Linked DNA regions of Macaca fascicularis. The protein of the gene in region 2 interacts with the protein of the main gene of each other region in a pairwise test. Links are inferred from orthologs where the notes say so. Each region holds a gene or a part of one and is shown on either strand. Other genes may lie near its edges. The genes, in order: FOXJ2 and EGLN3.

The links.
Region 1: the proteins of EGLN3 (region 2) and FOXJ2 interact in binary tests that used the Homo sapiens proteins (3 or more experiments, as listed by UniProt). The two-hybrid records come from large-scale screens. The link is inferred for Macaca fascicularis from reciprocal best matches to the Homo sapiens genes EGLN3 and FOXJ2.

What each region holds. Positions count from the first base shown.
Region 1 is NC_088385.1:12,668,762-12,672,578, reverse strand, and holds part of FOXJ2 (forkhead box protein J2), read left to right. Parts: intron 1-1,495; 5' UTR 1,496-1,509; coding exon 1,510-1,842; intron 1,843-3,817.
Region 2 is NC_088381.1:101,736,687-101,740,503, forward strand, and holds part of EGLN3 (prolyl hydroxylase EGLN3), read right to left. Parts: intron 2,216-3,817; coding exon 2,079-2,215; intron 1-2,078. UniProt on the Homo sapiens protein: Prolyl hydroxylase that mediates hydroxylation of proline residues in target proteins, such as PKM, TELO2, ATF4 and HIF1A. Target proteins are preferentially recognized via a LXXLAP motif.

The DNA.
Region 1 (3,817 bases), on a different chromosome or scaffold from region 2:
GTGATGGGGTCAGGAGAGAGGGGGACATGGTCCTATCTGCTGTTGAGTTTTAGACTGCAAAGTGTGTGGATCTGTTGTATTTTATGGATACGCTTGTGCATATATCTAGCTGTGGATTTAGAGATCACTTACATCATGTGTTTCTGTTCAGGATTCTGAACTTTGAGGCCGTCTAGTCCTGGCTCCTCAGGAGAAATGCCCTGGTGGGACTGAGGAAGACAATGTTAGCTGGAATCTGGCGGCTGTGCAGGCACAAACCTGTTAGGCAGCAAGTGCTTAGGGGTTGCTGGCATCAGCTCTAGGGGAGTGCCAAATGGCTACCTAGTGCTTCCTGCCAGCCTTTCTAGACCCTGCAATACAGATAGCACCCATCGTTCTTCACTTTCCCTCAGCAAGACGTCGCTGTAGCTATACCTCTCTGCTGGGAAGAGCGCCCAGGCAGTGTGGGTGGCAGCAGGGCGTGCAAACATCAGGCGTAGGCGGTCTGGCAGCTCCAGGAGTTTGCATGGAGGTGCAGCGAGCGTGCCTGCCTGGCTGGAAGGAAGGAGGGAGGAGGAGGGCGGAGAAGGGGAGCCAGCTCCGAGTCCCAGAGTGGCTATTTTTAGCCAGGCTATCTGATTGTTACCGGTAGGCACACAGCTGGGTGTCTCCCTGGCTGGGTGAAGCCCAGCAGGCTGAGAGGTGGGAGGTCCTTGTGGATGACTTCTTCCTGGTGGTGGTGTCTGTGGGCGGGAGCATGCAAGGGGTAGCTTAAAAAGTGTGAGGGCAGCTGTGTACTCAGGATGTGTTGCTTCTGTGTGTGACTTTGTGCTCTGGTGGTAATGTATGCTGTATATGTAATCGTGATCTCTGTGTATGTGCTTCACTGTTTATGTATCTGTCTGCTGGTTGTCATGTATAATTTATGCCTGGGATATACCTAATATGCCTCAGGTGCACATGTGTGGGGGATAAAAAGGGCAAGTGCTCGTAATATATCTAGTAGGAAACGTCTTTAAAAGTGTTGGTGCGTGCTTCATCCATGTATGTTTGTATTTAGGTAGACCTTTTCTTTACGTGGACATTCATGCCATCTGTCTGGATGTTGTATGAAAATACAACAGGTGTCACATGATTGGAGAATGGACTTTAATTTCACCTGCTAAGTGGGGTTTTTCTTTTTTCAAACTCATTCCTACATCGTTTAAAAATACTATGTTGTAGGGCTATAAGTAAGGTGAATTGAGGAAATAGCTCAATTTGGTGTGAAGTTTGATCTCTTTTAGTCCTATATGGAGAGGCCTTTTGGCCGTGCTCCACGTTAAGCTGTAGGGTAACTAGCAGTCCATCATCTGGTAGATCTGCTTGGGGATTCTCGGAACACCTGGTGGAAGGCCATGCCGTGGGTGTCTGATGGGAATGAGAGCAGTAAGAAACTCTCCTTCCCTCAAACAAAAGGATTTGAGTATTACTTGCCCCCAGTCTTTTCGTCTCCTCTTTGTCTTCTTCTCTGCAGAAGCCAGAAGTACCATGGCTTCTGACCTAGAGAGTAGCCTCACCTCCATAGACTGGCTTCCCCAGCTGACCCTCCGAGCTACCATTGAGAAGCTTGGAAGTGCCTCCCAGGCTGGGCCTCCCGGGAGCAGCCGCAAGTGTTCACCAGGCTCACCCACAGATCCTAATGCCACCCTGAGCAAAGATGAGGCAGCAGTTCACCAGGATGGCAAGCCACGATACAGCTATGCCACTCTCATCACCTATGCCATCAACTCCTCTCCAGCCAAGAAGATGACTCTCAGCGAGATTTACCGCTGGATCTGTGATAACTTCCCCTATTACAAGAATGCTGGCATTGGTTGGAAGGTGGGAATGCTTCTGTAATTTTGGCTTAGATTTAGCCTTCAACAACCTTTTTCTCTACTTTTGTTTCTTCCTGTAACCTGTTCAGTTTACTCTGGCTTGTCTCAGAGATGTGAAAACTTAAAATCTCATATGTTCTGCCCCCTACTGTTTTTCAGAGTTGAACAACTTTTATAAGGTATATCAGGGAAGCTCCAAGCCATTAAGTATAGTGATGGGGATGGCGGGATACTGTTGCTTGTCACACCCTCTTATCTTCATTTTTTTTTTTTTTTTGAGACAGAGTCTCGTACTGTCGCCTGGGCTGGAGTGCAATGGCATGATCTCGGCTCACTGCAACCTCCACCTCCCAGGTTCAAGCGATTCTCCTGCCTCAGTTTCCTGAGTAGCTGGGATTACAGGTGCCCGCCACCATGCCTGGCTGATTTTTTTGTATTTTTAGTAGAGACAGGGTTTCGCTCTGTTGGCTAGGCTGGTCTCGAACTCCAGACCTCATGATCTGCCCACCTTAGCCTCCCAAAGTGCTGAGATTACAGGCATGAGCCACTGTGCCCGGCCCGCACCCTCTTGTCTTCTGATCCCTCAAAGAGGATATTCATTCATTTCACAAATGTTTATTACCATTCTACGATGTTCCAGTCACTATGCAAGGCATGGCATCACTCCTTCCTACCTAAAGGTAGGAATCTAATCTAGATCATCAGATTTCCATAGCTCCATTGCACAGTCATCATCTTTTGAAAAGCTGCATTCCAAGAAAAATAATAATATAATTAGGTTCTTTACCAACAGCTGGCTACCAAGCAAGTAATGAGAAGCTAAGTTGTTTGGCTGGAGATGAAGAAAGAAGGGGCTCTTCTCCCAAGCAAAGAAGGAAGGCTGATATGCTCAATTTTTTGGAGCAGTAGCTCATTTGTCAATTGCTGAGTAGGAATGGGAACTTAATATGTAGTTCCCTCACTCTGTAAATCCCCATTTGACGTACAAACCATGTAGTGAGTTGGAGACTATTGAAAGCACTCAGCTTTCTTTTCTTTTTTTTCTTTTTTTGCAGGGGTGGGGGACAGGGTCTCACTCTATTGCCTAGACTGGAGTGCAGTAGCATGATCTCGGCTCACCGTAACCTCCGCCTCCCGGGTTCAAGTGATTCTCCTGCCTCAGCCTCCCGAGTAGCTGGGATTACAGGTGTGCGCCACTGCTGCCCGGCTAATTTTTGTATTTTTAGTAGAGATGGGGTTTCACTATGTTGGCCAGGCTGGTCTGGAACTCCTGACCTCAAGTGATCTACTCGCCCTGACCTCCTAAAGTGCTGGGATTACAGGTGTGAGCCACTGCACCCGGCCTCTTTTTTTTTTTTTTTTTTTTTGAGACGGAGTCTTGCTTTGTGGCCCAGGCTAGAGTGTAGTAGTGCAATCTTGGCTTGCTGCAACCTCCTCCTCTTAGGTTCAAGCGATTCTCCTGCCTTAGCCTCCCAAGTAGCTGGAATTACAGGCACCTGCCACTGCAACCAGCTAATTTTTTTTGTATTTTTAGTAGAGACGGGGGTTTCACCATGTTGGCTGGGCTGGTCTCGAACTCCTGACCTCAAATGATCCACCTCCTGCCTTGGCCTCCCAAAGTGCTGGGATTACAGGTGTGAGCCACTGCACCTGGCCTCTCTTTTTTTTTTTTTTTTTTTTAAAGACAGGGTCTTGCTGTGTCACCCAGGCTGGATTGTAGTGGTACAATCACAGCTCACTGGAGCTTGAACCTGGGCTCAAGCAATCCTCCCACCTCAGCCTCCTGAGTAGCTTGGACTACAGGCGTGTACCACCATGCACAGGAATTTTTTTTATTTTGTAGAAATGAGGTCTCACTATGTTGCCCAGGCTGGTCTCAGGCTCCTAGACTCAAGTGATCCTCCTATCTCGGCCTCCGAAGATGCTGGAATTACAGACATGAGCCATTATGCCTGGCCCACTGAGCTTTGCCTTTGTAA
Region 2 (3,817 bases):
TCAGCCTCCCGAGTAGCTGGGACTACAAGCGGCCACCACCATGCCTGGCTAATTTTTTATATTTTTAGTAGAGACGGGGTTTCACCATGTTAGCCAGGATGGTCTTGATCTCCTAACCTTGTGATCCACCTGCCTCGGCCTCCCAAAGTGCTGGGATTACGGGCATGAGCCGTTGCGTCCAGCCAATTTTTTTTATTTTTTTATTTTTTTATTTTTTTTGAGATGGAGTCTTACTCTGTTGCCAGGCAGAGGCACGATCTCAGCTCACTGCAACCTCCGCTTCCCAGGTTCAAGCGATTCTCCTACCTCAGCCTCCCAAGTAGCTGGGACTACAGGTGCATGCTACAACATCCAGCTAATTTTTGTATTTTTAGTAGAGATGGAGTTTCACCATGTTGACCAGGATGGTCTCGATCTCTTGACCTGCCCGCCTCGGCCTGCCAAAGTGCTGGAATTACATGTGTGATCCACTGTGCCCGGCCTGTCTACCCTGATTTTAATTTAAAATTAACTTCTCTGGTTTTAATTCTATTTCAGTGTAATAAAATGCATAAGGAATTCCAGGTATGTGCCAGAAATTTTCTTGGGCATTAGGAATTCAAATGACCCTGTGATCAGATCTTCCTCTGTGATCTCAGGCTCAAAGTAGGGGAGACAGGTGATTTTGCAATAATGTAACAGGTAAACATGGTCTCTACAGAAAGGACTAGAAGGGAGTCATTCTGCTAAAGACTGGGAGACCCAAGTTGGTAGCGAGAACATAGAGGAGAGATGACATTTGAGTGAAGCTTTGAAAAACGACTTATGTAAATCACAGTATGTTTAAAACTCTTGGCTTGCTTTCTTTAGTTTTGGACATTGAGGCAAAATTGCAATTGAATAATAATAATGCCCCAGAGCTTTCTACTGCATCCCCCCACTAATTTGCTTTATCCCATTCATTGGATAGACTATAATGGGAACCATTTCATACTTGGTTTTTTTAAAAGTTTCATTTTGTAATGATTGTTAGCTACTGAAATTTCTACAGCACTTGAGTCTTTTTCAAGGGCTTCTCATCAAATTTGCTAATGTTTTCCCTGTAAGGCCAGTCATCATGATACTGGGGAATAACCAAAGGCTTCTGCCACAAACAACAGGGTTTAGTCACATACCCCATAAAACACAAAAGCTGACTTCAGTGGTAGAATTCGTTCCCTGCTCATCTAGAAGACATTCCAATGTGGCAGTTAATATGTAACTGGGTTTAGGGCTAAGCTGTGTGATTTCGGGAGGACACATGTGATCTTAATTTAATTAGGCTTGTCAGGGTTTAATCATCATCCTATCAAAACTCTCTCCTCCTGCCCCTGAATGCTAGTCTCAGTATAAGCTGCACTCCGTAGCCCTCCAATGCTGCCTGGTTTATTGCTTTAGACACAGACAAAGGTAAATAAGAAGCACAATTGAGAATGAAGATTTTTATCAAGATTGTCTAAATTGGTCCTAAACAATACTAAGGTGCTCAGCTACTCTGAGAATCTTCATGTGCACATAAAGAAAAGATTAATAAAACATTCAACTGTTGGACCATGGATACAGCAAGCCCAAGCCAATTTCAAACCAAGGAATAGACAAAAAGAGAAAGTCAAAACAAATTACTCTTTCTTTTCTCAAGGTTCTTTCTCTGCTTGCAACTAGTGGCTTGTAAACTCATCCAAAGTAACCAGACAGAATTCCTGATATGTGACAGCCAACATTCTCTAGGCATAGTTCAACAGTAGGTTTTTTTAAAAAGGGAAAGAGAGGTAAGAGAAAGGAGGAACGGAGAGAAGAGAAAAATACTCTTGAGAAATTGGAATCCAATATGCTCACCTAATAGAAAACAACTTGTTAATAGTACTTTCAAACTGAGGTTAGCTTTGGTATGCTAAAGAATGCAAAGCTTCCCCTTTAATTTTTGTAGACTCCAAACAAGTTCGCTATCAGCTATGGGGTGTGATCAATCCCCCACATGCACAGGACACGTTTAGAGAGTTCCCTGGAACTAGGGTTTATACAACGAACTCCGGAAGAGGAATCATGGCTCCGGCTATTACCTGGTTGCGTAAGAAGGCTGCACTTCGTGTGGGTTCCTGCGATCTGACCAGAAGAACAGGAGTCTGTCAAAAATGGGCTCCACATCTGCTATGAATGATTTCCCCTCTGGAAATATCCGCAGGATCCCACCATGTAGCTTAAAGACACAAAGAAGGGGGATTACTTCTTACCTCTCATGTAGTTTATCGACAACCATATTTCAGCCCCATTTAGAAACATGCCATCTGCTAACCACCACTCCAAATGCATGGTACCCCAGATTTTTACTTCAACCTCATACTTTGTACAAATTTTTTTTTTTTTTTTGAGATGGAGTTTCACTCTTGTTGCCCAGGCTGGAGTGCAATGGCATGATCTCGTTTCACTGCAACATCCACCTCCCTGGTTCAAGCAATTCTCTTGCCTCAGCCTCCTGAGTAGCTGGGATTACAGGCATGTGCCACTATGCCCAGCTAATTCTGTATTTTTAGTAGAGATGGGGTTTCCCCCATGTTGGTCAGGCTGGTCTCGAACCCCCGACCTCAGGTCATCCACCCACCTGGGCCTCCTGAAGTGCTGGGATTATAGGCATGAGCCACCACGCCTGGCCACTTTGTACCAAATTTTATACCAAACTTGGCTAGAGATACCTCCTTATTCACCTTAAACCAAAAAAAGCATTCCCACCACCCCCCCCAGTCATAAAGCCCATGGACGTAAAATAGAGTACTATTAGATTGAATCATACAGATTTGCTAATATTTGAGTGTTTTTGACTTTAAAAAAAATACCCAGCAATTTCACATGGTTCCATCTAACCATTAACAACTTTCTAAGAAAATCATCACATGTAACTTCCCCTTCAATTAGAATTTACTGCTCTTCTGAACTCCCTTAACTCCTATCTGACCTCGTTAGTTGGAAGTTACATGCTCTTTTTTTTGAACTCTCAGACCACCTAATCTGCACCTTTTATGACATATATCACTGTTTTCCTTGAATTACTTTTTCTTTTACACGTCAACCTATTTCATCCTACTAGAATAACATTATTCAGTGTAGAGTTCAGGCCTCACACATCAATGTTTCTTCATAATACAATGACTGACACTAGCAGGAACTCAAATATTTGTTGAATGATTGCAGACCTTCCAATTTGTCATTACCAATCTGATAACTTTATTCTCTTGTCTCTATTAGCACTTCTCAAGATTTTAAAGACGACCTAATGGATGTACCCCAGTCATGTTACCAATGTATTCCAGAGATGTTACCAAACAGGGAGAAGAGATAGGCCTTTTCACTGATTCGATGGTTTCCCAAGTTTCGTTTTTCTGACTTTGGATAAAATATTATTGCTTTACGACAGCCAGTATTTGCCTAATGAACAGGAAATGGAGATGCAGAAGGTTCAAAAGCCAAATAAGCTTGAAAAGTTATCTGACTTCCCAGACTCCTAAATCATTCTTAACTTTCGGAAAGCATACAGAGTCCACACAAATGTCTGTGAGCATGGAACCAGGCTTCATATCTCCATCTATCTATAAGTTCTATAATACAAAAATAAGCCACAAAGCCTTTGGCATTCACAAACCATAGTAAGCCATGGCAAGCAGCGATCAATGAGACATATCACCCTGAGGGAGAGGACTGTGTGGGAAATCTCTCTTGGGGATGGTTTTATATCCTACAGTTCTATTTTTGTGGAACTTTCCCAATGCTGCTTCTGGGAGGGAAAAGTGTACATCTTATTCTGCAT